Linked DNA regions of Coturnix japonica. The protein of the gene in region 4 interacts with the protein of the main gene of each other region in a pairwise test. Links are inferred from orthologs where the notes say so. Each region holds a gene or a part of one and is shown on either strand. Other genes may lie near its edges.

Region 1 (6,874 bases), on a different chromosome or scaffold from region 4:
TTTCATTTGAGGCTGATCTTTAATATTACATATAATTTTCCAGTAATTTTCTCTTGCAGAAACTTCCCCAGTTATGGCAAAACTATTTCTTACTGGAACACTGTTAAGAGCGTACTATATACAAATTGCCAGACCTCGCTTCTTGTCCATAGATCAGCTTATATGAGATCAAGAAGGAAAAGAAAGAATGGTTTTAAGGTGCCAAGGTTTCATCACATTTTCTTTTTCTTTCGACACATTATTTTATGAGTTTGGCTGGCTCCATTCCAGATGCCTTGGCAGTCAAGACTTCTAGGAACTGAGAGAATATAAATCCCTTCCCAAAGTAAACTATTTTGTTGATGCCAAAAAATCTGGGCACCATTTCCGTTACTTTTACTTTCTGGAAAACCTTACCACAATACATCGTATCACACCTTCCCAACTCATTCACCTTTAACCAGCCATTGTGGTTAAAAGTTTTCCCATAAGGCAACAGGAAAAGCACTTGGGTGCATGTAAAGGCAGCACAGAGCGGTACTATGAGGAGCATGGAGGATTGGCAGTCCCCTGGTTTTAATGGCAGGCAGCATGAGCATTTTATGGTGTGGGAGGAAGATAATATGATCATTATGAAGCTGCATATGCTGGATCTGACATCCACAGCCTGCCCAGGTAAAGCATGGGCTGGCATCTGTGAGACAACATGGACCCAAAGAAGAACTCTAGGTCCTTTTCTGAATTAATATTCTTCCTCAACAAAACTGACTGCACAGACTCAGCTCTCTCCTCTGTTTCTTTTCATATTGCATAATATGTGAGTGAGGAATGCAATGGGGAGGATCAAATACAGCAGCTTGTGACAGGGAAAAGCCCTCTTGTTTTTTCACGTTCCCTTTGCATCTGGCAAGATAAAATCCTGATGAAGATTTATTCCCTGCACCTGTATGCCAAAGCTTCTCAACAGTACCCTGGCATCTTTCTCCTTTAGCAATCAAAGTGTGTGGACAAAGCCCGATACAGACTTTGGGCCCTTCAGCCACAATGACACTAATTAAGTGACACATTCAGGACAGACCAAGATCTCATGGGCTGACTTTGCTAACAATTTTTGAATGCCAGTATTTTAGGGGGGAAAAAAAAGCCCTAAACATACATCCACTGGGAAATTTTGACTGACACTCATTGTGGTGGCTAATAGTATTTCCTACCAGATGCTCAGATACCATTCAAACTATAGCCCATAATACACAATGGAGGATCTACAAACTCAGACATTTCCATGAATGATGGTCCCTGTAAGTACCATTACAAGGACAATCTCGGTGCTGGCAGCAATACCTGTGCTCCCATCTCCTCTGTAGCCACTAGTGGCATTTAAATTGCAGAAACAGTACAGACTGTACCCGGCTTTGCAATTGCCCATTATCACGTACCAGGCAACAAATGAGCCTGCAGTTAACTTAGAGGCTTTATAAAGGAAGCTTTAATTCTATTCCCATGGCAGCTATTGCTTATATGAACATGTATTTGCCTGTAATGATAACGGCCCTTCAGGAGAGAGCTTAATTCACTTCAAATCCACCTCTCAGAATATTGTTCGTGATCTGTTCTGCAGTCCCACAGATCATCCTCTTTACCATACCCTCAATCAATTTGAAAGCACTAAGGAGCAGGGAGGTGAAAACCAGCCATGCTCTCACAGAAACAGTGTAAAATGGTAAGGATGGGGAGTCTGAAGGAGGAGGAAGCACCTGGAGACATGCCACACAGTGGCAATGAAAGACCAAGGGCCAAGGATTATGTCAGTCAAGACACAAGAGCGCAATAGCACAAGGATATGCAGTTCAGAAGATCCTCATGCTTTCCTCTGCTGTGTGGAGCATAACTGGCTATATTTGCCGAGCTGCCCTCTGGCTTTAAGCAATGACAAAAATAGTTGATACTGGCTTTCATTATGGCCATATTTTCACTTCCATTGATACCAGTCTGAGAAGTCTACCACTGAACACTCACTCCTCAGCCTATCAAAGGAAGGTGTGGCTGAGTTCAACAAACCTCATAACCATGGCTTGGAAAATTCAAAGAACAACTAAGTGTTTCCTGTTCAGCTTTCATTCCACACCTTGCGCATGCTAGAAAGAGCACATTTATGATGAAACAGAAGCGTTGGAGGCAGCACCTTTGGGTTGCATGTTTGCTACTGGAACATCCTTGGGTGTCTTACACCTTTCGTGTCTTGCTCATGCCAGCTTCACCTTCTGCTTCAGCTATTCTGTTTCCTACAATATTGACTTACATTGTCCAAAGAATACGGCAGAGACAGATAGACACAGCCATTCGCTGACTGTGAGGAAAAGACAGAAAGAGGTTCCAAACATTTGAACTTACCTCCTCACCTTATCTGCATTCGGAGCTGCTGTGCTTTAGAACAGTGTTCCTCCCCAGCCCCATTTTGTAGTTATCCCAATATTTATTTTTCCTTTGTTTTCTATAGAGAGGATAAGGCTTCCACAGGGCTTGTTAGACAATGAGAATATTCCTTGGGAATTGCTTACAAAAAATAAAAAGCAGACAGTGAGGGACTAGAAAGGGATAAGAAAGGGTAGGAAAAGCAAGACAAAAAGACTGACCCTCCATAGCAAGATACTTTGCAGAAAATGGTAAAGATTGGGTTCTTCTTGCACAACATAGCAATAACAACAGCAAAATGGAAACAGAGTTGGTCTTGGTGTAGACACTCCCATCCCATCTACCATGGAAAGAGAGCAAGGGAAGCAGTTACTATTCAATCTGCCTCCCACTTCGTCCATCCAGAATCACAGAGCGCCTCTGTGGCTGGTAAAAGCAGCTGGTAGAAGTCTCCAGTCTCTGGCCATTCTTGGGGATGGTCATTTTGTTCCGCAGCATCACTCCCTCAGGTGTTGTCCGCGAAGTTTCAGACAGATCACCACAAATGGGACTCGAAGAGGAGGTCTGAGTAGGGCTTCTGATGGGTGATAACAACACCCTGGAGTCTGCTGAAGAGGAGGGGTGGTCCATAATGGGGAAAGGGGGACTGAAGAGAATCAGACTCTGGGGCCTCCCAGGCCTAGATCTATAGGAAGGCTTGGAGAACCCTGATGGCCTCTCCATCTTTGAAGACTGGGGGTTATCTCCACCTGTCTCTCCCTCGGAAGTGCGCTTTCGGCGCAGAACAGGAGCATCCAGGCTAGGGTTATGGCTGGACTGAGATGACTCCAGTGGAGAGCCAATGCTGTTGTTCCAGGGGCATGTTGAGTCCTTTTGAGCTGGGTCACTGTTTTCTTTCTCCGCTTTGGCTTTCTTCTCTGTCACTGGGCTCTTGGGGGGCTCCAGGTGGCCCCATGCCACTCGTTGAGTCTGCCTGCCAGCCTGCTTGGCTTCTGCTTCTTTCTTCTCCACTTGTGGAGCAGAATTTTGAGCCTGCAGGGGCTGGGGGATCTGGGTGTACTGAATCTTGGGTGGTATCACAGGCACAGCTCTCGCCTGGCACATCTTAATCATGAAGGAGGTCCTGACTGCTGACACACTGACAGGGGCAGAGTTACGACGGCCAGTGGTGGCATGGGCCACTGCCAGGTAATCTAAATCTAGATCTACGTGGGCACTGAAAGGAGAGCGCCAGGAAACACCTTTAGCCCCAGCAGGGCAGGTAGTTGACAGAGATGGGACTGAATCACTGCTTTTCACTTCCTTCTGTCCATACAGGAAGTTCCCAGCAGCAGAAGGCATGGCCAGGCTTTCAAACGTTAAGAAATCTGGAGTTGGAAGGAGTGAATCCAAGTTGAGGGATGACGGCCTAGTTTTCACTTTACGAGGTGTTTCTTCATCTTTATTACTCTGAAGTGACTCAGTGGCAGAGCACACTTTTGTAACAGTGTCTTCTGCCAGAGCAATGTCCTGAGACCTGGATGACTCTTCCTTTGTGATCTTTGCCTGTAAAGAACTGTTTGGGGCATTTTGGTATGGTAAGAACTGCTCGAGCTTTGACCTCCAAGGGTTTTCTTTGCTTACATCCATTTTTATCCCCTCTGGCTCTGGAAGGATTCTGGAGGGCTCTTGCTTAGCTGGTGTTTCCTCCCTGCTGATTGGATACCTCAGCTCATCAGTTTTCAGAGGTTCTTCTGGAAGACACGTATTATTCTCATCTTGCTTAGCTTTGCCTAGACTAATTGGAGAGATGGACTTTTTGGGCATTTCCAGTGGCAGAATGTCACTGCAAGGTTGCTGCTGTTCAGGGGCATCAATGAAAGAGAATGGGATAGTCCACAAACTCATCACTGTATCTTTACTATCCAGAGACAGGCTGCGACTGAATCGTGGTCTAAGGGAAAGGCCTGCCTCTGATCTCTGATCTTGTGGCTGAAACTCTGGTATTGTCTTCTCCTGAATGTCCTTAAAGGTTGGGGAATGGAGTGGACTTGTGACCCATTGGTGATCCTCCCAGGGCTCCACAAGCTCTAAGCTCTGTACATTATCTACCCAGTTATCCTCATCATCCTGGTCACCAGCATCGTGAGTTCTACTGACAGCATTGCCCTCCTTCAGCTCCTGGATTCCAGCTCCATTCAGTGCCTTGGAGGATAATGTGTCCCTTCTATCAGCAGTCACTATCTCAGGCATCTCGCTCCGAGTCTGGACTTTGGTATGATCATCACTTTCCTTCTGCAGCTGGCAAGTGCTATCTTTTCCTTTCTCTGATTCTGAATGTGCTCCTTTGGAAAGAGAAAATTCATCTCCTGGAGGAAGCTCATTAACTTCTGGTTGACTATGAAAATTCAATTCCAAGGGAGAAGTGACACATTCACGCATGCTGTCTTCCACCACTGAATGGTGGTTCTTTGGAGCAGCTACACTAGTCAGGGGAGTTCCCAATTTGGGGAGGGCTGAAGCACAGCTCTGCTGTGCAGCCACATCAGACTGGTAGTTTTGGTGGCTGTCTGGTTGTTCTGTGTTGGTGGCATCAAATAAAGGCACCTGAGTTGTGGTCTGTGGGGTTCTGCCAGCAGATTTCTGCTCAGACAGCGTTGTACATTGCTCTGGACCAGAGGAAAAAATATTTGTTTGTACTGAAGAAGAGGATTCAGAAACTGGGACTGTCTTGGGGACGGCTGCTGGAAAGAGCAGGAGTTCTTCTTCAGGTTCAATTATTTTCAATTCATGCTGTATCTCGGGCCACAGTGGTTCCAGAAGGGTATTTGCAGGATCCTTCTCAGTCTGAAAAACAGAAGAAATGCCATGACCTGGAAGTTCACAACTTACTGCAAATACCCTTCAATTTTCCTCAAACAGTCTCTTAGAAAAGACAGGCTCCTGGACAAGCATGTTCATGGTAATAGAAACAAACACACACACATACAGTAATCAACCCAGTGAGGAGAATGAGCAACTAGAATATCTCAGCCTATTTCTCAGCTCTTCCCATTCAGTGCTCACTTAGCCTTGCCAGAGGTTCTGCATTCCCAAATCATACCGGAATGTATAATCCATTAAAGAACATATGCCAACAGATCTTTAAATAGACGTCCTGTGATGAGCACCACTGTAAGAAACCTGGTGAAAAAGGTCTGGTAGAAATATAGAGGAAGTGTGTGTGTGTGGATGGGGGAGGGTTAGGGATGGAGGGAAGTGTGTCCAGAAAATGAAATAAAAAAAGAAATTTTCAAGCTGTACAGGACAGTAAAATAGAACAGCAAAAAATAGAAGAAGAGTTCAGAGACCTTGGGTCAAAAGTATCAGACACCTGGACAGTCTCACATCTGGAGAATCTCACAGCTGACAGATTGTACAGAGTGCAGTCACAGTTGCAGGAAGAGAAAACAAAGAGCGGACAGTAGGTAGCTGCACAAAGATAAATCAGCAAGTGCTTAAATGGACAGAAGTGAAATCAGTGCAAGGTCAGTTCTTGACTCTGCTTAGCCTAGATCGCAGACCAAGTTTTCACAACTATGGGCACACAGTGAAACTATGAACAGCGTCCCAGTCACTACCATGACATTGTTCCACAGCTTTTTTCTTATGACTTCTTCCTTACCACATCCTTTATGCATGAGCCTTCCTCTGGCTTAGCCTTCTGGATCTCCTGCTGGCTGCAGCTGCCTTCTGGGAAGATGGTCTTCATCTCAACCTTCTCTTGCTCTGTCTTAACTGCAGCGAGTGGCCCCATATGAACCTCTGAGGCTGGTGCTTGTTCCGCAGTAGGACTGTGCTCTGAGGATTGCTGGAGGCTGCTTGTGCTGCTGCTCTGTCCATGTAATGTCTCCTGATTTTCTGCTGCTGGCTCTGCAGTTTCTAAGGTCTCAGATTTTCTGGCAACTACCAGTTCCTCAGGGAGAGAACCTGGATCAGAAACACAAATGAACTTTGTTAGTACTTGTGGCCAAAAGCACGCGTCTGGCAGTGCTCCCTGCAACAAAACAGTGCTCTTGTGACCCAAGAAGAACAAACAGAGCTGAAGAGATCCCTCCAGGCAGAACAGGATGGTGCCGTGAAGACATTCACCTCCCCAACCCCAGTAATTCCAAAAGGGGCCAAGCCAATCTGTGACTGCCAGTGCCTGCCATGGTACAGCTTACTTTTCTTCCCTGCTATGAGAACAGGTTAAATACCAATACAGCCAAGCTTTAGCTCCAGTACCCCAACACACTTTTACCTCTGGATGCTGCCGTTGGCAGGAGAGGCCCAGGTGGCTTTTCCTTCCTCTCTGGAGCTTGCTCCATCTTCATGTGGCCTCCACCTTCCAGTGTAGAGGGACTGGGGCTCTCGGGTACAAGGGAAGACAGCTCCTCGAGGCTGGAGAGGGAAGGCTTGTCCCGGGTAGGTACGCGGCATGGGGTGCTGTTGGTGCTGATAACTGCAGACACCCGCAGGGGGA
Region 2 (7,315 bases), on a different chromosome or scaffold from region 4:
AAGAAGCTGATTATCACACAGAACAGGACCACACAAGCTCTGGCTGCCATTCCCAAGTCTGTTGCATATACAGTAAGAGTCATGCTACTTCAAATTAAAACAGTGCATGTAATTTAATGGAAGCCTGGTATACACAGGCCAGAATAATGTCATCGTACTCTCCCCAAAAAGCATAGAGACTCAGTTAATATAAAGCATTTTAAAGCATTAAGGGGGAAGTTCTTCACTAGGAGAGTGGTTAGGTCCTGGAACAGGCTGCCCAGGGAGGTTGTGGATGCCCCGTCCTTGGAGGTGTTCAAGGACAGGTTGGACAGGGCCCTGGGCCAACCCAGGTCATTCTGTGATTCTGTGATTAAAGTGGTGAAATCCTTGCTATTAAGTGCTAATAACCGCCTCATGGAAAGTACATGTGAAATAGGTCTGTGTAACTGCTTTAATGACACATACCAATCACTGACTTCACTGACATATGGTTGCACGTTATATATATCCAAAACTCGATCACACAAGCTGTATAGATTCTGGAGAACTACAATCCTAAGTTTCAGGTTCAAAACTTCAGAAGCGTGACCTGGGAAAGATCATTTAAGGTGAGCTTACAAGTGCTTAACACGCAGAGCACTGGGATTAAAGTGTGTGAAGAATAAGAAAAGGTTAAACCATTAGGCTGAAATAATCCAGGAAGTTCATGGCTAACTCTCTTCATCAGCTGTTTGTTCCCCAGAGTCTTACGCTTTCAGTCCGTCCCATCAATGAAAAGAAAAAAAGCAAGCCTCCACTGAATATGAGAAGTGCTCTATGTTGCCTTAGAAGAACAGCATCACTTCTAATATCAAACTGTATGCTCTGCTTAAATACATTTATTTACTCAGCACAGGAAATGCTGGCTGCTCTGCCATTCACTGAACATTGTGATCTCATGTTTTTGAACTGGCAGATCTCAGTCTCTCATACATGCTTGGAATTCACAGATTAGATAAGGAGAAACAAGCAGCCTTTTTGTTTTTTTCTTTCTTTTTTTTTTAATTCACAAGTAATAAGCTGCATTCAGATCCCTCAGTTTGGTCAAACAGTACGTGATTGCTCCTGGTATGTTACCTTCTCATAACAAAATGGAACAAGCCCTGTTTTCTTTTTGACCTGTTCCAAATGAATGGAATCAGTGGGTCACCACCCTTACTCAGGTGACACCCCATGAGCAGCCGCTGCCCTTACAACACAGCCTGAAAAGCACTGGCAAGGGGGGAGCCCAGGATCCCTGATGCTACTGAGCCTCAGAAGGGAGACTCCTTGCTGCTGCCAATATCACGGGTTCACGCCTGGACGCCTACCTGTGTGACGTGGTGTAGGGAGCTGTTTGGCAGGGGGTTGGACGCGATGATCTCTAAGAGGTCCCTCCAACCCCTACAATTCTGTGATTCTGTGATTTCTTTTTCTGCAGAAGCACCTCACAGCTTCACCCAACTTTGTATATTGCGTCATTCTAAGTACATAAAGGTGAGATAGAACCACCGTCTATGGCTCTAAACTGTGAGCAGTTTGCGGGCTTGGCAGGATTTCAAGCCCTTTAAGTTCTTTGGGCAGTGGCACAGGCTGCCCAGGGAGCTGGGTGGAAATCACATCCCCCAAGATTCTCAAGAACTGTGTGGAAGTGGCAACTGAGGACGTTGGTTTGGTGGCACGGAGGGATGGGTCGGTTGGTTGACTAGATGATCTCAGAGGTCTTTTCCATCTTAATGATTCCGTGATAGGTTGGGATGGGCAAACAGCCTTCCCTTTGCTACAGATCGACCTGCCTCCTCACTTTGTTGTCTCTTTGTTGAGGTGCGTCCACAAGGCCCTGGTGAACAGAAGAGCAAGCTGATAGATTCTTAGGTGAAAATATAAGGCTGGCATATGGAAATGGATCCAAGTTGAAAGAGGGAAGATTTAGGTTGGATGTTAGGGGAAGTTCTTAAATCCGGAGAGTGGTAGGCCCTGGAACAGGCTGCCCAGGGAGGTTGTGGATCCCCGTCCTGGAGGTGTTCAAGACCAGGTTGGATGGGGCCCTGGGCAACCTGATCTAGTAAATTGTTATGTTGGTGGCCTCTGCCAGGCAGGGGGTTTGGAACTACATGATCTTGAGGTCCCTTCCAACTCGGGTTCATTCTGTGATTCTGTGATATGGCAAACTGTGCCTATTTTTAAGGGTGGTGAGTCACTCACTGATTCAAAATAATCAGACATGTTAGTTCAGATTAAGGCTTAGTACGTTACTCCAGGCATACAATTAATGAAGATAAGTGTCATACTATACTTTATTTTGACATTTTGAGGCCAGCTACCTGACACCAAGCTTTGCAGAAGGAAACAACATCTGCATTTGCAGGTATTTATTACTAACCAACAGCATTTCTTCATCTAACTCTGACTGTCCAAAAGCATTCAAAGTCTTGCAGGTAGAAAACATGGCCAGAACATATCAGGGAAGGGCCTAAAAGTTACTTTCTAAGGAAGATAACACCTCCACTCCCCCAGCAGACCTTCACTAAGACAGAACAATGCCAGAATTGCACTGTATTCCAACTTCGAGGCAGCTATTTCTATTGCATGCATGGGAAGACTGAAAAATCAACTTGATTTTCTCAGTTAGAAATAAGAGCCCTGGAACAGATAACCCAAAGTTCCCTGCTTATCCCTTATAAGCAGCCTATTCTTCTCTTTTTCTTCTCAGTAGAGAAAAGCCCCTATAGAGTACATGTCACACTGACTGTACAGGACTGATATGAACCGAACAAACAGCACACCCTGTCAATGACATTTCAAATGACATAAAAAACAAACTAAAAGGGACATCTTTCTATTTCTGTTGTTTAAGCTTGCTAATGAAGTCACATCCATTACAATCCTGGGTCATATCCAACAGAACCTCAATGCTATTATGCCCAAAGGGTTGTATTATAGCTTAAGTTTGCAGTTCAGATCACCGCAGAGCAGTTTGGGTTGGAAGGGACCTTAATGCTCATCCAGTTCCAACCTGGCTTTCCAGACGATTAGTGGGTATAAGAACACAATTGCTGCTACCTTGCTGCAATGGAAGCAGGACATTTACACAAACTCGCTTTACGCAACCAAGAAAATGGCCCTACCTTATTATTTTTTATTATTTTTCATTAAGGATGGCCACGATATTCCGTGAATTGAGGATGGGGGATGAGCACGGTACTGTCCCGAAGGGATGCTTTCATTAGATAGCTGTGCTCGTACTCTAACAAACACAAGCACCTTCAGTCAGCTCAGCTCTATTCCTCCCGCACCTCACGCTGATACTCTCTGCCTGCAGAGACACGTTTTCAACACACACCCCGAAGCAGCCCACAACATGCTGAGCAGCTAACACACAACAAACTGAATCACAGAATCACAGAATGACCCGGGTTGGAAGGGACCTCAAGGATCATGTAGTTCCAAACCCCCCTGCCTGGCAGGGCCACCAAACATACACATTTACTAAGATCAGGTGCCAGGGCCCCTCCAACCTGGTCTTTGAACACCTCCAAAGGACGGGGCATCCACAACCTCCCCTTGGGCAGCCTGTTCCAGGGCCTAACCACTCTCCTAGTGAAGAACTTCCCCCTAACATCCAACCTAAATCTTCCCTCTTTCAACTTAAATCCATTTCCCCTTGTCCTGCTACTGTCAGCCCTTTTGAAGAGTTTACTCCCCTCCTGGGAGTAAGTTCCCTTCAGGTATTGAAAGGCTGCAATGAGGTCACTCCGCAGCCTTCTCTTCTCCAGGCTGAACAAACCCAACTCCCTCAGCCTGTCCTCATAAACTGCAGGCAGACAACTCGCCAAACACACGGACAAACACCGACAGCGGTAAGGGCTGCTCAGACGGTACCTCCAGGTGAAGGCAGGCAGACGGCCGGCCACCCCACACTGTGCCCTCAGCCAACGGGCCGGGCAAGGTGAGCGGGAGGGCCCTGAAACAAGCAGCCGGCCGCCGGGCTAAGCGAGGGGTTAGGCCCCGGGTCAGCCCCTCCCCCGCCCCTCATCCCTCATCCCTCCCCCCTCCCCCGTGCCAGCCCCGGAAGCGGCTCCCTCGCCCTTCACACACACAGGCGATGAAGGGATGGTGAGCGGAGCCGCTCGCACTAACCGTCGTGGTCCCGCTCGCCGGCGCAGCGGCTCCGCCTCGGGCTCACACACGCGGCTCCGCCTCGCTCCCCATCCCGCCGCCTCCGCCGCCCGGCCCGCAAGGACGGCTGAGGAACAGCCGCGCACTACGCACCGCGCACGCGCTGCCGCCCTCGCTCGCACCTCCGCTCGGGGTGAGGGAGGGAGGCACTCTGCGCATGCGCGGTGACGCGAGAGAGAGGCGGGAAGGGGAAGAAGCCTCCCGCGCGCAAAGCACGATGGGTAGTGTAGTTTTCTAGGGGACTCCTACCGGAAGTGGGATGGGCCGGCTTCCTGCCGACGGACTACAACTCCCAGCGGCGGGGAAAGGGGAGCGGCAGTACCTCAGGGGGAGGTGGCTGGTGCGGTAGTTGTTGGCTCCGGAAAGCAAATAGGATCCTGGGCTCCATCAGGAGAGGGGTGGTCAGCAGGGATAGGGAGGTGATTGTCCCTCTCTACTCTGCTTTTGTGAGGCCCCATCTGGAGTACTGTGTCCAGGTGTGGAGCCCTCAGTACAAGAAAGACATGGAGATTTTGGAAAGGGTCCAGAGGAGGGCCACGAAGATGATCAGGGGGCTGGAGCACCTCCCCTATGAGGACAGGCTGAGGGAGTTGGGCTTGTTCAGCCTAGAGAAGGCTGCGGGGTGACCTCATTGCAGCCTTTCAATACCTGAAGGGAACTTATTCCCAGGAGGGGAGTAAACTCTTCAAAAGGGCTGACAATAGCAGGACACGGGGAAATGGTTTTAAGTTAAAACAGAGAAGATTTAGGTTGGATGTTAGGGGGAAGTTCTTCACTAGGAGAGTGGTTAGGCCCTGGAACAGGCTGCCCAGGGAGGTTGTGGATGCCCCGTCCTTGGAGGTGTTCAAGACCAAGTTGGACGGGGCCCTGGGCAACCTGATCTAGTAAATGTGTATGTTTGGTGGCCCTGCCAGGCAGGGGGTTGGAACTACATGATCCCTGAGGTCCCTTCCAACCCGGGTCATTCTGTGATTCTGTGTTATTCTGTGCCTCGTCTGGTTTGTAACGCCCCTAACGGCTGTGCTGGGGGCGGCGGCTGGTGCTGTGTGAGGTAGTGTACCCATGGTGTTCCAGCGGCTTCTCGGCTGGGGTAAACTCATAAAGTTGGGTCATGTTCACTGAAACCCCCCGGGGCAGGCGAGGGCCGCAACCCCAATTGAGCAGGTTGACATGGAAACGTAAGTATTAGCGGTGTCTGACTGAAGGCTCGGTGAGCTACAGGCCTTAGAATGTGTGACACAACCAGCGAGGAACACGGCATATGAATACAACAGCTGGTGCAGCTGTATGGATGTTTACATCCAGCCTGCCTTCCCTATAGTTATAGTTCCCTATAGCTGCTGAGTTTGACATTGACAGCTCGGAAGGCAGCAGCCATCTGCTCAGCTTCATCCTCCTATAACCGCTTTGAACTGGAATTGTCACCGGCTCCGGATTGCCGTTCTGTGAAGGGTAAGAAAACGGAGAAATGCTGGATGCAGCGTGAGGAGACCTGTGCCAAGAGACACATCTCCATCTCCACAAGCATCCTGTTTACACAGATAGTCAAAAGAATGTTGTATCCCTCGTCTTTTCTGTTACGTTAAGCACCTGCGTATCTTGAATCCTTTTCAGGATTCCTAACCAACGGGGGCATTTGTTTCAGTCAGAAGCAGCCCGATTCGTTCCCACAGCCTCGGATATAATCCCTGAGCTTTTGGACACATTAATACAGTGGCAGCGTGCCACCTGCTTCATTTATTCACTTGAGATTCAATGCTTCTTAGTCCCTGTCAAATGGGCTCTTTGTGCAACCTTCTGTGGTAATGTAAGAGGTCCCCCACAGGAATTTGCGCTATTCAGTAGGAAATACAAAGGGGAGGGTTGTAAACACTCTGATTAGTGTTGGAGCACAGAGATATTGTCTCCGCGGCGTATTACATAACCACACGACTTCCAATTTACTTCCTCCCTTCCAGACGAAGCAGTTTAACAGCAAGTACTTGCTGGTGTATTTAACTTAACATCACAGCTAATGTCTTGGGGTTTTTTGCTGTACAAAGGCTGTGTTACTTCTGGCAAAAGAAGAGAGGAAGGTTACTTCAGAAACATCCTTAGTAATTTGAGATGATTGCCTGTAAGGATCTCCACTTGAAACAACAGTCGCCAGAGGCTCTCGGCTCTGAAGAATGAGCATTATCAAGGCTGCTGCCAACACAAGTTCACACACAATGGGCCCATCAGCTAACGAGCACAGAATGAATCTTCTCCCATTTTTGGATAAAGACAAACGAGTGATTGTGCATAGAGCTTAGTATACCAGTTTACTGCCATGTGAAACACATTTGGATGACTTCTGACTTCACAAAGCTCATTGTGGTCTGAAGCTTACTTACACAGATGAGGGCACATTCTTACTTACACACCCTGCGTTTACTTCATTCTTACTGTTTTAAGGACAAAGTCGAGAAAAGATGATAAGCTCTATGCTCTGCCTGACCCTCTTAAATGTACTAAGGAGAACACTAGATGTTTAGAAATACTTTTTATTAGAAAATAGGTGGGGAAAAAAGCAGAGCTGTGTCAATGAATAATTCCCTGCCATTTTCTCAAGAGAGGCAGAGACTGTCTTTTTATTAATGACTACATCTTATGGCTGGCAGCCTAAAATAGTGCCTCGGAAGCTATTTTAGTATCTCATGTTCTACGTTTGCCCATTGTTAGAAAAAAACTGCTCCTTTGAACAATTAAAAATGCCAAATATTAGCAGGTCAATAGGCAAAGCAAGTTCAGTATTTCACTGGCACTCGGTCTGTATGATCAGATCTGCTGGTTCCATGGATGAACTCCATAGGCAGTGAAGCACTGTGAAGTCCTTTTTGCTTATATAGTTAAAAGAGCTGTGCATACAGCGGAAACTAGCAGGTATCTTCCAGCAGTCAATTCCTTTTCATGACCAAAGGCCGAAGCAAGCACGCTCATGTTAGCACAGAAACCATCAATCTTCTTTCCTTGACTAACCACATACTTGAACTGAAAGCTGAATTTGAAAAATCATAATGAAACACCTGTTCCTTTAAAGGTGAAGAAAGGCTGTGGCAGAACTTGAAAGAAGAGCACTCTGTTCAAAGGGGGTAGTGAAAAATACTCACTCAAA
Region 3 (7,640 bases), on a different chromosome or scaffold from region 4:
AGCATACACACTTTATCCAAAGATTAAAGAAAAGACCTTTTGCCCACTGAAAAGAACCTGCCAGCTTACGTGCCACGTCTCTGTCTCTGTAGACACGAAGCATTTCAATTCTAAACCTTCTATTTTAGTAAGAGCTTTGGTTTTCCTGTAAGGAGTTTCAGAAAATTAGGCAAGAAGCAGAGGAAATCTTTGTGGCTTTCAAGTCCTTTGAACACATACCTATGACTAATCACGAGCCTGTCAGCTGGAAGAAAGCATAAAACTTGTGCCTGGCTGTCTGGTCACTCTTACTGCCTAAACAAACCCTCCTGACTAAGGCTGCTCATCTGCACATACTTTTGGGATGAAGAACATCATTAAACTTTAAAACAGCTGTTACTACTGAAAATAGTGTCTTAAGAAAAGGCAGTTATCTGTGAAAGTAGTGCCTGCCTTTTTAGGTAGATCCCTTTGATTTAGCATACATACAGTTAAAGTCAGTGGAAGAGGAGGTGAGAAATTCCACTGACTTCCCAACAAGACTTCAAAGGCAGTTTTTTCATTAGCAGCACTTCCAAACAGTTAGCACATCACCAGAGAGCCTCTCTGCCACTGCTGGTGCGAGTCCAGAGATGAATCCATGTCTTCTGCCAACCCGGAGCTGCAGCCAGGTAGGCCTTGGCTCAACTCAAGTCTAAAGCCAGTCAGCTTCCAGCCCAACTACCGTGAGCAGCTGAACCTGCACTGTGCATACAGTGGAATGACTACTCAATCGGCAGAATAACTGCATTCATCTGCAGGGTCTGGGGGCTGACCTGCTGGAGAGGAGCTCTGCAGAGGAGGACCTGGGGGTCCCAGTGGACATCATGTTGGCCATGAGGCAGCAGTGTGTCCTTGTGGCCAAGAAGAACAACAGCATCCTGGGGTGCATTAAAACAGATGTGACCATAGGTTGAGGAAGGAGATCCCTTCTACTCAGCCCTGGAGAGGCCACATCTGGAGTACTGTGTGCAGTCCTGACTCACTAGAAAAGTCTCACTTGAGTGCAGATCTCTGAGACTACTCATAAAGTTAGCTATGTGTTTCAGTGTCCTACTAAATTGGAAGCTCAGGTTGTCTTTGTTAACCCACCGCTTTCTCTCTCTAGTAATCAGTTGAAAGGTAATACTGATACACAATGTTAGCATTAAGTTAATTTTCCCAGCTTCGAGGATCACAGGATGCAGGGTCAGAGGTTAGGAGTTGCTGCTTGGGATATATCGGCTGTAAACAAGTGGAAAGTTGAAAATGTTGACACTGTCTTAAGTAAAGAAAGTATTTCTGCATTACTGCTCTAGTACTCGTGGAAAGGTCAAACATTCTTTGCTGAGCTCTAAACAGACAAATAAGCCATGCTGATTTATCACTTGTGCTTCTTTTTAAGGAGATGTTTTGACTTCATTAAGATACACTGACCTAGCTTGAGGTATATCAGCCTGTTTCTGGAACAAAATACCAGATGTCTTTTGCACACAAAGTACTTTACATGGTCAGGACATACGTAACCAACCTAAAAAGAAACATTTTCTCTCAATTCCATGGAGAATGTAAGGGGCGGCATTAAAAACCCACAGCTACTTTCATAGCAGCACTTGGAGTACTTTAGCCTGCAAATGTCACAAGTGCTTCTCTAAGGCACATTCTAATTTTAACCAAAAATGTGAAAACAATAAGAAGTTTTGCACATTAGCTGCAAAAACTGATTGTTTTAAAAGACGTCTGCAGGAAAAGCTACTTTGAGGTATTTCCCCTATTTCTTCTTTGGTCACTGTAGCCAAAATTTTATCGGAAATGGCAAAAATCAAAATGTTTCAAGGACCTCATGAACACAGACATTTCCTGAGGCATTTGTGACTACGTTCAAGTGGCCGTAAATCTCCAAGAACTGTCCTCACTACTAATCTTTGCTATTCAGATTTAGCGCTTTAAAAAGAATCACTGTTGCATAAGAATGGGCACAGAAATGTTTGTTCCCACTGTACACCAAACAAGTTTTTTGTGGGTAAGTCCCCCTGTTGGCAAACGCCACTCAGCAGCACACAAAAGCTGACATGGACGTTCATCCATCCCATAACCCAAAGTTTAGGATCCAAGGCTCACACTCTTCCTCACATCCCAGCAGAACGCTGAATAATGCTAATTCTGCTGCACTGCTTGGTAACAGCCCCACCTGCTAAGGTCAGCACCAGGACTCCTTCTCATTAAGGTGGTTTGCAGACCCTGAGAACCTCATTTCCGTAAGGGCTTGGGAGGGAGTCATTGTTATGCGCAGCTTGTCTCAGAGGTAAACTGGGGTCTGGGGATGGATTGAAAATAGGAGTGAAAACTGAATAATGACTTGGAAGAAGATAAAAGTGTTTCAGGAATTACAGCTGTCCATGGCAGCTGAGGCAACAGCTGAATTTCTCCCTACAGCCAAAGAACTTAGGCTGAAAACTCTGTAAGAGATCGAATGGACATTATTGTCTGTTTGATGGAGGTGAGTGAACGGAAATAAACTTTGCTATCCTGCTACTACAGACACTCACCTTCTAATTCAGCAGTGTTGCCATTTTATGTGCACTGCATTGCACACAACTGCGGTCAGCAAACATGAGATCTTTAGGATTCCTCCCCATCTAATGGGGAGATAGACAGAAGGACTTCTCTCCTTCTCCCGTAAATACAGGGAATGCAAAAAGAGCTGGAAGAACAGGAAATAAAAGTTCACTAAGAAAGGAGGATGAAATTAAAAATAAATAAATAAAAATGCTGAGGAGTTAATGAGGGTGTGTGGCCTGGGTGAAAACAGCTGCTCTGGAGAAGAGAATGGTTTCACCTGGGAGAATCCTCAGCTTGGGAGTTAATCACTTCCCATGTCAGACACATACAATTGCTCCACAGCAAAAGACAGATCAGCTCCAAAAAGTGATTGTTTAAGTGGTATTTCCAGCAGTTTACTTCAAGAAAGCGCTTTTCTGTACGAGAAGAAGCCAAGGTGAGAGACAAGGAGGATTTGAGAGCTTCTCGGTGTGCCTTTTGCATAAGGCAGCAGTAAGAAAGGCATCCCTTTGCTCTTTAGAAGCGAGTATGATCAATTCACACCCTTTTTTACACCCTCCGGACTTTGAGAGAGCGGAGGTCCAATCGCTCTCGTTTCATCCGTGTGTAAGTAGGATTTCAGTTAGAAATCACTCCAAACTGTCTCTGCTCCCCGACGGCGTGGGCAGGACTCACCCCGCCGCCACGGGGCAGGCCCGGCTGGAGGAGCGGGGCAGCAGCCAGAGCCTGCCGTCCTTACCGCCCCGCTGTGCGGCCGCGTCGAGGCGGTGGATGTCGCTGCTCCTCCCCTCCGCCGCGGGCAGGGCTGGCGGAGCACACCTGCCCCGGAGGAGGAGGAGGAGGAGCCGAAGGGACAAAGTTGACTCTGGAAAGTTTACGAGGGAGCGTGGGTGGGAAGAGAAACGGGGAGAGAGGGGAAGGGCGCTGCCCGGCTGCGGGACGCCAGCTCCGTCGGAGACCCGCGGCGCCCGGTGCGGTGAGCGGCGGCTGCCATGGCTCTGAGCAAAGGGCTGCGGCTGCTGTGGAAGCAGGAGCCGGGGCCGAGCGCGCTGCTGGAGGCTCGGGGCCGCCAGGACTGCCTGCTGCTGGAGGCCGGCACCATGGCGGCGCTCAGTAAGTCGGGGCGGGGGCAGCGAGCGGCGTTGCGGGGCACCCGTGGGTGCGTGGAAGCGGCCGGGAGGCGCGGGGATGGGCGGTCTGCAGGGACCCCGCTGAGACGCCGGGGTGCCAGGTTGCTCCCTTAACGCCAGCCCGGGCCCCGTCCCTCCTGCCTCCACCGTGCTCCGGCTGCTTGTAGCCTCCTCGAGGCCACCGGCACGGAGAGGGATGCGGAGTAGGGTCCCGCTGATGGATGGGACTCGGTGCACGAAGTTTCTCTCCGGCTGCATCGGTGCTGGTCGACAGATCAGACGTGCTGATTCTGATTACGCACGGAGAGCAACGGGAAGCTGGATTAGATCTTCCATGATGCGCTGTGGCAAGGCTTCCAGGTTATCAGTGTTTGGCTTTTTATGAGTGAAGAAGGCCTGCCAGGTCTACAGGAGACCGATGGTTTTCGTGAGAAGGACTGTGAAAGTGGAAACATTTTAACCTGTCCTGATAAAACTCTGTTACTGCCACAATGCGCCTTGTGTTGTGTTACTGGGATTTCATACTGTCTGATACTTTGAGATACTTCTGTTGCTTGTTGAATTTGTTGATAATAGTGGACGTGACTGTGCAGAAAGATTATTCTGTATGTTTTTGGTTGGTTTTCAGTGAGCTGTCAAAATAACAGGTCTGATAGGACAGACCAGCATTGTGCTCACCCTCCCTGACCTAAAACTGTATTGACAGTAAAATTGTCTTTTGACATCAATTAATTTTGATATGGCTTCTGTTATTCTGATCCAAACCCAGAGCAACTCCACTGTTTAAAGCCAATGAGCACAAGTAGAACTAAGAGACCAGTGTTCAACTAACAGCCCCAGGCCTATGTAGAAGCAGTCGTTGAGAAGGTTATTTACAATCTTGATAATCTAAGGAATCATCAACTTAAAATACTTTTTCTCTCACAATGTTGCTGTCTTCCACCTGAATATTTGTAGCTAGAAGTGTGGAAGTGATTGAAGAATTGATTTATTCTCTTCTAAAATGTGTGTTATTTTGCTTTAGAAGGGTGTTGGACTTGATGATCTCTTGAGGTCCCATCCAACCCCTGCAATTCTGCAGTTCCATGGTGGCTGCTGTAAAAGCTGGTTTCCCATGCCTTTGGAAAGTCACCTCTGGAGATAGCTGTGATCATTCATGCGTTGGCATCCAGCCCGCTTTGTGTTAATAGATTTGCCATTTTAATTCATTTAGTTTCTCTTCCTGCCTGGTTCTGTTCCTATGTTAGAGGAAAAGGTAGTTTATCCAGTTGAACCAGTTTTAGTTCCTTTCTTCTATTTATGAAGGGAAGGACCAGAAAAGGAGGGAAAACCAGGAGCAGGTATTGTGATGGTAAATTTATGTGAACTGTGAAGAGGAAACTCCATGGTTAAGATGTCAACAGAGACAAGGCCCTCAAGTTGTTACTGGCTGCAAAACATATCAGATAAACACAAACCTCAGGTTAGTAGGTTTGGGCTACTTCGATTGTCCATTTCTGACATGAAGATATAAAGAATTGCATGCACGTGGTGATGAGGAATAATTGTGATTATGTCTTTTGCAGACTTCCATGCTCTAAATACAAACAAATGTGTTAGTTGTACAAGCATTGTAAGTTGTTCGTGCAGTTTTACTGTAGCAGCCTTGATCTGATAGAAGGGTAGAAAGGAATAATTATGAGTGGACAGTGAAGGCTTGGAAACAGATTTTTATTCATTGTCTGTTATTTTGTTTCGTAATTACTGAATGTCTAGTTTGCTTTTGAGCAGGCACAGCATCTGCATTTCTACTGGAAGAGGTTAAGTCACTTCCTTTCCTGCTATCCAGTTTAAGTAGCAAAATGGACTGAGAATCATCCTAGAGGAAGAAATGTTATAAGAAAAATATGTGGAAAATGTATGAGCACAGTATCTGTAGAGGCCATGAAACTGCCAAGCTCAGAATCAACCCTTTCAGATATATAAACCAAAGCTGTGTTACTGTCTTATGGGAGACGAGATACTTTTTCCTCTCTTGATGTAAAGGTTATAATGACAATGTATTTCAAAATTCAGTTTTAATACTTAGAAGTGTTTCTGTGTTCAACTTCAGTAGTGGAAAAATATTATGAGGATCTTCAGCTGTCTGGGAAGCCATAAATGAGAAGCTGAATTGATAACATTCAGGCTGTAAGTGAAGCCTAACTTGAGAAACTTTTGTAAAGGTCAAGGAATCAAAAATCACAGTGGGGAACCTGGCTGCCCTACCCCAGCTCCTTTTTATGTACAGTGAAGCAATGTATGAGTCGCATAATTTTCTGGTCTAGCAGAAATTAAACAGTGCTTTCATAGTATTTTTTTCCCCTCCTTTTCTCATGATGTCATTGTAGGGTGGAGGGTAAAACTTTCTGTTTTGAGTTTAACAGCATGAAAGAATTTCTCCAGGAGTTCACTGAACTAGAACATCAGTAATTAGCTTCTGCCATGGAAGAGAGTTACAGGCTGGAAGGGTAAGGAAAAACTGTCACTGCTTCAGAAGCCTTTGCTTACATGAGAGGGAATATAGATAGAAGTGTTGTCGCTACTTTTAATGCGGTAGTTTTAACACTTTACAGGTGAAGTGAGTTGCATACTAAAGCCATAGAGCTGCAAACATGGTTTACTAACTTCATTATAGAAATGAAATGATGCCAGTAGGAATGTTCAGCTTCTGTGATTCATCACAGAAATGTAATTCTGCAAGGGCAGGGCCAAAGGATGCACAGACAGTTAAAAGTTGTGTTTTACTCATATGCCTCCTTATTTATGTAACTCCTCGCCTTACTGTATTTGTATTCCTAAATCTTACTTATTTTTTTAGAAGTAAAATACAGTGTTTCATAAAACTTTCTGCTGTTTAATGGTGTTCAAACTTCTCCCATCTGTGGACTCATACAAACCTTTTGTGGTTCAAAGAGTCTGACAGAAGCCTTTCTTATTTTGGCTGTGCTGTCAGTGTCTTTGTGTGACTGTATATAATATATAGCATTAACCACATAAAGATAATGATTAAGCTACAGGGAAGTGACTTAGGAACTTCTCCCTTATGTTCTTGGCTGCCTGCAGACCGCAGGAGTGGCTGGTACAAATCTGGTGGTCTTCTGAGTCCATTCCTTGGCTGTGAGTGAATATATCCATACCCACACTTACAAGTATGAAAACATAACCCCTTACTGGAAAAGAATGATTCCAATTATATAGAAAGCTGGTGGATGAACTTCTCCAGGCTGCTGCTTGGTCATGTTTTCAAGCTGAAAAAACACTTTTCTTTAGAAAGCTGGAGAATATATTGCTTAAAATTTTGAGTATCCAGATTCTGTTAGCTGGAACTCTGACCTTTTCCCAACCCTGTGTTGCATGACGTATAGTGTGTTAGAGGATACAGCCTGACTTGTGTAACATCTGTGTGGCTTGAACTGGATGTGAACGGGAAGTTTTTAGCAACAAAAGATTGTTGTATTGTCATTTACATTCATAATGTGCTTTAGGTTTGTCTGAGAAAAAACAGGAGTTGTAAGCATGTCATTTATCTTCACTCATATAACACCAGATGCTGGACATATTTTTATGTTAAGATTATACTAGATGTATTTTTTATCACTTTTTTTTTTTTTAAATAAGAAATTTGTTCAACTATATATTTGCTCTTTCTGGTAAAAATTTCACTCCTCTTTCACCAAAATACTAGAAGAAGCACAAATAAAGCCCCCATCACCATCAGTCCAACAGCTCTGCAAATATGTGCTTGCATGTTCTGAAGTATTTCTGTAGCTGCTAAGCAGCAGATATCTAAATACTTCCAGAGGAAGTATTAGAGGACAGCCAGAATTTGTAATCTGCCCCCCAACCTTCTTCTTGAAGAGCTCTTCCCGTGGATTTACCTGAAAGCTGAAGGTTCTACTGAGCCTGCCCATGATGTTGGGCCTTGGACTG
Region 4 (7,315 bases):
GCTTCTCCTTACAGTCTCAGGGGAAACAAATAACAGATCTTCAAAGCATTAGACATTTGCGCCATGTAGGTGAGCATTTTTCTTTTTAAAACACCAGTATACTTCTTACTAGTGATATAAAAATGACCTAAGAACAAATTGAAGCCTAGATGAAAGGTATTGAAGTCTAGCAATAGAATAACAGTGCACTGTGTGCTGTAAGGAGCACGCACACAAGTAGGAGTTTGTCCTCCGGGGCACGTACAGAACAATTACCTGGAGAGAGATATCCATTAGGATTTCAAATTCAAAATATAGAATGATTCTGGAGTGAATAAATACGTAAGGATGTGGGAAAAAGAGCAAATGACTGTTACTATCAGCATTATCCAAACTGTGGTACTGTTTGTAAAAACTATCAGTAAACACTTACCTAGATATTTTCTATTATCAGCATTTCTGCATCCAGTTAGAATTGCCAATCAGAACGTACTGAAACCATGCTGTGTTTTAAAGTCATTCTTGGCAATGCTTAAAATAACTGATCTCGGAAGAATCAGAGGAGCAATGAAAAGTAAATGCATTAAAATATATTGCTTGTTTCATGACAGGATCATTGATGCCATTTGTGCTCATATCAATGTTTCCTCCACAATGGCTTTCATCCTTGTCATTCTATGTTGTTTTGTAATGATGATTTCATTGCGATTCTTTTTCATGAAACAAATTCCAGTCCTCCATGTGGGTAAGAAAGAAATGGCGGAGGAACTGGGAGGTGGGGAAAGGAGAAGTACTTCTACATGTCACTTGAATCTTTCCATGCTCTGATCTCCTCAGGACCCTGACATGAATCAGACAGCGTTCACGTCTGCTCTATTTCTGTGTGGTATCTGAAAGGCCCCAGAAGCGGCTGCAGCAGCCAAGAGCAGCAGGAGCGCCGTGCCACTGCCCACAGCTCCCTTCTGCAGCTCCCGGGGCTGCCAAGTCATTGGCAGAGCAGTCTGGGCTTTAAGGATATTCAGCCTGAATGACGAATCGTTTCAGCTTCCATCTGTACGGGGGAACGTGGACATACAGGTTTTATAAAAACAGCCTTTCTCTTTTCAGAGATAGACACTGACATGAAATATCTGAGAATTATCATTGCCCTCCAAAGGAAAGAGAATAAATATTGTGGGATGCTCTGTCCACCGACGAGGTTTCATTTGATAGTTTCCAAATAATTTAGACATGTTCTGAAATGAATAGGAGATGAATCACTGGATAAATCCCTGGGATGGCACCTCTGTTGATTGCAGTGAATGGTCACTCAGCACAAGCAGTGACTGCTCGGGTCTCTTCCTCGTGCTTCCTTTGATGGATGGCAACACAAGGAGAATGGTGAATGTGTGCATCAGTCCAACCAGCAGCGTCTTCCAAGGAGAATAACAGCAACTGTGGAAAGGAAAAGGCTCCTGGGGCCATTGGGCCTGATCTGCTCAACTTTTACTTCAACAGTTACAGGAAATAAATGGTTTCCTTAGGGTAAAAAAGAAACCCAGGGCTCTGTGCAGCCTGGCAGCCCCGGTACGCGTGGTCCAGGCTGCCCCACCTGGGGAAGCTGGCTGTGCACTGATCTGGGCTAAAACCTGCCGGCAGATTGAATGAATGTCACAGCATGGCAGGGGGAGAGAGGGCAGCAGGAGGATCTGCCGATGGAAGGAGGCTTCTGGCTGCGCTCTGTGCTGGCACATGGAGCGAGAGGGACCGGCCTGAGGGGAAACGGGCATCTGTCCGTGGTGGCACACAGTGAGTGCCACAGGTTGGCCTTAACTCGAGTTACATCGGTAAATCTGTACAGCGAACCTAATTCCACACTGACACGTTTCGTACAATGTCGTGCATCGGTTTGTGCACAACAGCCTCGTGGCAGACCGGCCTGAGGAGCGTTGAAGGCAGGGATAACAAAATGGTGTCCAAAGGAGCGTTTGCTGTGAGCTTTGTGGCCATGCGATAGCAGTGAGCCGGGCAGGGCGGGATGGCGGGGTTCTGCATCCCGGTGTGCGGGCACACCGAGCTACCGCCCGGCCCGGCAGCACCGCTGCGTGACAGCGCGATTCTGTGCGGCTCCGTGCGAGTCAACGACGGCAAAAAGCAGAAGGGACCGGGACCGGCCCGTGTCGCAGCGCTGCGGGGAAGCCCGGCCCGACCCCGACGGGCGGAGGAACCGGGCGGCGGCGCCGCAGCGTGTCCCGGGAGGGCGGGGCGGCCGGAGCGGGCCCGGAGGCGGAGCGGCAGCGCGGAGCCCGGCCGGATGTGAGCGGAGCGGCCGCTTCCTGTTTCCCGCAGTTCTCTCCCCGCCCTGGGTGGTGGCCGCTGCCTCGTCCCCGCTCGCAGGCTCAGGGCGGAGGCGGCCGCGACACGCTGCGGAGCGACTGAGACGCGCTCCGCCGCCGGCTGCTTTATCGAGCGGCGCTCCACGCCCCGCCCCGCTCCGCAGCCGCGATGCAGGCCATCAAATGCGTGGTGGTGGGCGACGGGTGAGTGCGGACCCGCGGACCGACCCCTTCGGTCGGGCCCGAGCCCGAGCCGCGCTGGATCCCGAGGGCGGGGGCGGCGCGGGGACGAGCGGGGGGTTGGGGCTTGTGCGGGCGGGGGAGGGGAGCGAGAGCGGGACGGGCGGCGACCAGTGCCGGCAAATGGAGGCGACGGGAGGGGCGGGAGCAGCGCGGCCGGTGCGGGCCCGAACGCGGCCACAGCCCGAGTCCGAGCCCAGCCCGAGTCCGAGCCCAGCCCGAGTCCGAGCCCAGCCCGCTCCGCGCCGTGGCGGCGGGTGGTGCCGACCGAGGCGGCTGCGCGGGGCGGGGGTGCGGGCGGCCGGGCGGGGCCCAGCGGGGCTGCGGGATGTGAGCACTGGGAGCTGAGCACTGTGAGCTCTGTGAGCTGTGCAATGTGCGTTGTGAGCTGTGTGAGCTGAGCACTGTGAGCTCTGTGAGCTGTGCAATGTGCGGTGTGAGCTGTGTGAGCTGAGCACTGTGAGCTCTGTGCGCTGTGCGGGGCCGCGCCGGGGAGGAGGCAGCGCGTCACGGGGGGAATGGGCTGAAGGGCGGGGGGCGGATCGTACCGTGTGGAGCCACAAAGTACCGAACTCACATCGCTACATCCGCTTTTTGCTGCACAACTACGAACAATCTGTTCCGCTCCAATCGAACCATACGCGCCGTGTGAGCTGAGCGTTTTCCTGCTCGCACGGCTCCCGTCTGGGGAGGTTCCTGCCTGCAAGAGGCTGAGAAAGCAATCGAAACCCAACTCATTAACATCGTACTCAGCTGTAAATCACTGCTGTGCCTACAGCGCTCCGAATGGGATGTGCCTTATACATTAGTTAGAAACAAGTTGTTAGGATCAGGTTAGCACTAAGCTGACCTGTTGGATTCCAGCATAAGCACTGCAGCTGTGATGGGGATGTTGTGTTGCTGCTTCTCAGTACTCACCACCATGTGTTGCCATTGGCCCAGAGGCTCCTTTCTCTCTCGCTGGGGCAGCAGTGCAGGGCAGCTGAACAAGGCGTGGCTTGTGCACTTCCACGGGGCTTTTTTCCCCCTCGGTAGAAACAAAAATCCCAGTGTAGGCCGAGCATAATCGGTGTCACAGCAAACCCCTGCGGGTGACAGAGGCTGTAAGTGTGGCTGATGGCCTTGCTGCTGTCTCTGTAATTGAATGTGGTGGATTAACCTTCCAGTTTCCTGTGTGTGGCTTTGTATTTTTCAACAAGGCTTGGAGTCCCTGAGCTGGCAGCTGTTAGAAAGATAAACTGAGCTCACGTGGCACATGTGTTCGGCCTGCTCTTACTGTGCAGGGTTTTGAGCCGAACACGAGTGTACTGAGCACTTGATCATCTGACAGAGACTTGTCATAGCACTGTAACTGATGGATCCATCACTGTAATTGATGGATGGTGGGCAGTGTGACTGCAGGCAAACCTTTCAGTTGCGTTGACTTTAAAGGTGACTAAAATCCCTTTTTTTAATTGTCATTTTTAAAGTGAATTGATGTCTGTGGCAGTGCTGGAAATCAACGTGGTGCATCGAGTTTGGGTGGGGAGAAAGTTCTGCCTGTTTCCTCTGCTGGGTTGAGGAGCTCAGTACGGACGCTGTGTTACTCAATGACTCGCTCAGCAAAGCAGTTCTTCTTTGTCTCTTGCTTTGTAAACTACTCCTTTTCTCAATGCATTTCCTGCTGGAAATGAAAGTGTGTCATCCCACCCAAGTCTTACACGTACGTGTGAACAAAACACGGCATTCAGTGGGCTTTCCTTCCTCTGCAGTTAGAAGCACATACCTCCTAGGATCCCATCTAGAAGCCGCTGCTCAGTTTTGCTATCTGTTCATTGACTTCTGCTGGGATTTTTAAATATTTTATGGTGCTTCTCTGCTGTTGCTTCACGAGTGAAGACATTACAGGCGTTCTGGTAAATGCGGAATGTTTGGCTTAGATAAGGCTAAAGCTCTGGTACTTCAGGAAAACAATGCAGGTTAAAGATTTGCTCATATGACATAAAACTTAGGCGCTGATTTATGTGCCCTGTGGAGATCCACTGGGAACAAACCAGCTGTGGATGTACCTGTGCAGCCTTAACAGCTGGAAGCAAGCAGGCGGTTTCTGAGCTGTTTTTGTTCTTAGGGCTCTGACTGGTATCTTTTTAGAGCTCTAATTTGGCTACAAAACACAGCATGTTTGCTGGTTGTGCAATCTTGTTTTGCCCTTGTTTTCCTCTTCATTGTGAGGATTGTTAGAGGGAAAATAAACAGCAACTGTTGCTTGTGCTTGTGGAAGATGCAGAGCAGTAGGAACGTGTGCTGGGATAACAAGGGCAGGAGCTGCTGCTGACTGACACTTGTGGAGAGCACTGCTAGGAGTTATTTTTAGCAGCTTTTGTTTTCACTCTGAAAAAGCAGCTGTTCAGTGGTATGAAATCTCAAGTGATCTCGTGTAACGCTGGGGGAAGTTCTGTGCTTTGGAATGATGATTATTGGGTGACAGAGAAACGGTCAGCTTCCTGCTCTTCTGGAGCTGGTTTTCATTGTAAAACTATTGTAAGAAAAGAGTCTGTCTGGAATTGTGCTCGCCTTGAGGCCTTGCTGGCTAAAGCTGTGCTGCCTGATCTGATAACTTGTCAAGAGGAAGGAAGGGGGGTGATGGGCTCCTTACTGAGTGCAGGGTGAGGTTCCGAGCACCTCTGCTCTCCAGTGCCACCTATGGAGAGTGCAGCGACTCCAAGTGTAGGAACTTCTGCTATTGCACTTCTACACATTGGGTAGTACTGGAAATGCTGAGCGGTATATTGGGGAGATGGGTGTCACAGCGAGAAAAGCAGCTCACCTGGAAAAGTGGCATATATCTAAACCTCTGCTGTAGCAAAAACATGGCAATTCTGTCCAAGGACAGTGCTGGTGATGTCCCATCTGCTGCTTGATGTGAATGGAGACCTGAGCCATGCAGCACGCCTGGGGTGGAGCTGGTTCATGCAGCTGAGAGAGGAAGGATGTTGTCAGAGGCTTTCAGAAGGCTGCCACCTGTTTGCAGATATCAACATTTCTGGAATTAAACAGCAATTACTTCAGCTGGCCTCCGCCTCCATTCCTGTGGCTGCAAACAGCAACTAAATTCGTGCAGTTGGGTTTTAGTCGTGGGAGAGGAGGAGAGTGCAGCATCTGTGCAGCTCTGGTGCCTGCAGGATGGAGGAAATGCTGGCACACATTGTCTGATGGCGTTCAGAGCGAGTCACATACGTGTCTGCCAGCAGCAGGAACATGGGGAGCTCTGCAGAACCGCTTAGTGTAAGAAAGGGATGGCGTGCCTTGTTTCCAGGAACAACATATGTGGCTTTACAAAGACTGGTTCCTAGAAGGTGTCAGAAAGCAATTCACTGCAACTCATTAAAATGCTGAATTTCTGTTGGCCATGTTTTTAATTGCAGTCAAATGTTACCAGTTTCATTTGATGCAATGGTGGGTGGACAGAGCTGTGATTAAGCAGTTGCTCGAAATTTTGTTATGACTAAGTTTGGTTTGGAAGTATCTCAGAGTCTACGTCTTTATGTGCAAGGATTTATACTTCGCAAAACAAGTGCAGTTCTAAGTTCCTTATCACAGAAGTTGGTCAGCTTAGAGAAAAGCTGTAAGTACTCAGAGGTTGTGCTTCATTGCAAAGATAGGTATTGAAGTTCATTTTGAGGATTGGTAACTGTAATACCCGATTTGTGGGGCAGTGAGCCAGAAGGCAAGGGAAGCAGGAAGCCTGGAACGGAGCAGGCCTGAAACAGGGTTGTTGAACGTGTTTTTTCTTGTTCAAGTGGCTGCCTGATTGTGCTGCAGATACATGCTGCAGGCAGGCGCTTCTCAGCATGGAATGAAACCTGTCACCACCTCCCTGTGCTGTTCTATTAGCCAGAGCAGACTCACCGGTTTCAGAGCAGGGTGAGCAAAGAAACTTGAGCGCTGAGACAGGTTCCTGGGCCTCTGCTGAAAATGTGGAGTTCCATATGAATTTGTTATAAGCTTTTGTTGTCTGTAATGAACCCACTGGAAAGCGAAGCATCAGACCAGCCAGGTTCTGGAAGCACATGAGCACGTAGCTCTGAGCCTCAGGAAGTTTCCTAGGGAATGTGCTCCTTGCTGCTTCCAGTGTTTGAGGGTTTTCACGTTTGTCCTTGGTCGGTAGGACTGGCAGAGCCTGCTTTATAGCTCGCTGACAGCAGTCAGCAGCACACGGTGGCTGATGAAGCATCCCAAGGATGTGAGCAGCAGGTTGTCCTTGGGGGAATGTGGAGCTTTCCCTCCGCATAGTGGCTTGTTAGCAGTCAGCCCAGTGCCCCTGCAATGGGGACAGCACGGGATCTCCTCTGCTGGCAGCTGTTAAGCCAGCTTAGCTGCATGGCACGCAGCTCCCAGATTTCTCCCACAGAAGTTTTTGCGTGATAAATCTCTGTGCTGCTCTGTACATGAGTGTGTCAAGCGTGTTGCGACAGGAAAACATCTGCAGGTCGTAGTTTGCTCGAGCAGAGGAAAATTCTGGTGTTCAGTTCTGCCAGCTCGGTTCAGGAGGGTGTATGCTGGAAGAAAAAGAAGAAAATCAGATTGTTTCCTTAGAGCATGTGTGCAAAGCAGGGCAGGAAACTGCCACCGTGTGCTGTGATTAGTGGGACATTCTGCTCAGGAACAAAAGTGCAATTAATAGGCACGGAGGCTAAAAATCTGTGGCAATGCTGTGCACAGTGAAGCAACTCCTCTTTCATGGCTTGAATGTGTGTGGTGCTGTTGTCAGGGGTTGCCATGGCCCTCCTGGGTTAAGTGGC

Evidence for each region.
Region 1: the proteins of RAC1 (region 4) and ARHGAP31 interact in a two-hybrid assay, tested with the Homo sapiens proteins (2 studies listed by BioGRID and IntAct, with this or other methods). The link is inferred for Coturnix japonica from reciprocal best matches to the Homo sapiens genes RAC1 and ARHGAP31.
Region 2: the proteins of RAC1 (region 4) and RALBP1 interact in a two-hybrid assay, tested with the Homo sapiens proteins (2 studies listed by BioGRID, with this or other methods). The link is inferred for Coturnix japonica from reciprocal best matches to the Homo sapiens genes RAC1 and RALBP1.
Region 3: the proteins of RAC1 (region 4) and SYNJ2 interact in a two-hybrid assay, tested with the Homo sapiens proteins (2 studies listed by BioGRID and IntAct). The link is inferred for Coturnix japonica from reciprocal best matches to the Homo sapiens genes RAC1 and SYNJ2.

The regions. Positions count from the first base shown.
Region 1 is NC_029516.1:72,328,164-72,335,037, reverse strand, and holds part of ARHGAP31 (rho GTPase-activating protein 31), read right to left. Parts: coding exon 6,653-6,874; intron 6,340-6,652; coding exon 6,035-6,339; intron 5,218-6,034; coding exon 2,764-5,217; 3' UTR 1-2,763. UniProt on the Homo sapiens protein: Functions as a GTPase-activating protein (GAP) for RAC1 and CDC42. Required for cell spreading, polarized lamellipodia formation and cell migration.
Region 2 is NC_029517.1:88,812,878-88,820,192, forward strand, and holds the start of RALBP1 (ralA-binding protein 1), read right to left. Parts: upstream 4,333-7,315; 5' UTR 4,141-4,332; intron 572-4,140; 5' UTR 448-571; intron 1-447. UniProt on the Homo sapiens protein: Multifunctional protein that functions as a downstream effector of RALA and RALB. As a GTPase-activating protein/GAP can inactivate CDC42 and RAC1 by stimulating their GTPase activity.
Region 3 is NC_029518.1:46,821,055-46,828,694, forward strand, and holds the start of SYNJ2 (synaptojanin-2), read left to right. Parts: upstream 1-3,295; 5' UTR 3,296-3,551; coding exon 3,552-3,672; intron 3,673-6,159; exon of another isoform or gene 6,160-6,178; intron 6,179-7,640. UniProt on the Homo sapiens protein: Inositol 5-phosphatase which may be involved in distinct membrane trafficking and signal transduction pathways. May mediate the inhibitory effect of Rac1 on endocytosis.
Region 4 is NC_029529.1:8,461,282-8,468,596, reverse strand, and holds the start of RAC1 (ras-related C3 botulinum toxin substrate 1), read left to right. Parts: upstream 1-2,278; 5' UTR 2,279-2,463; coding exon 2,464-2,498; intron 2,499-7,315. UniProt on the Homo sapiens protein: Plasma membrane-associated small GTPase which cycles between active GTP-bound and inactive GDP-bound states.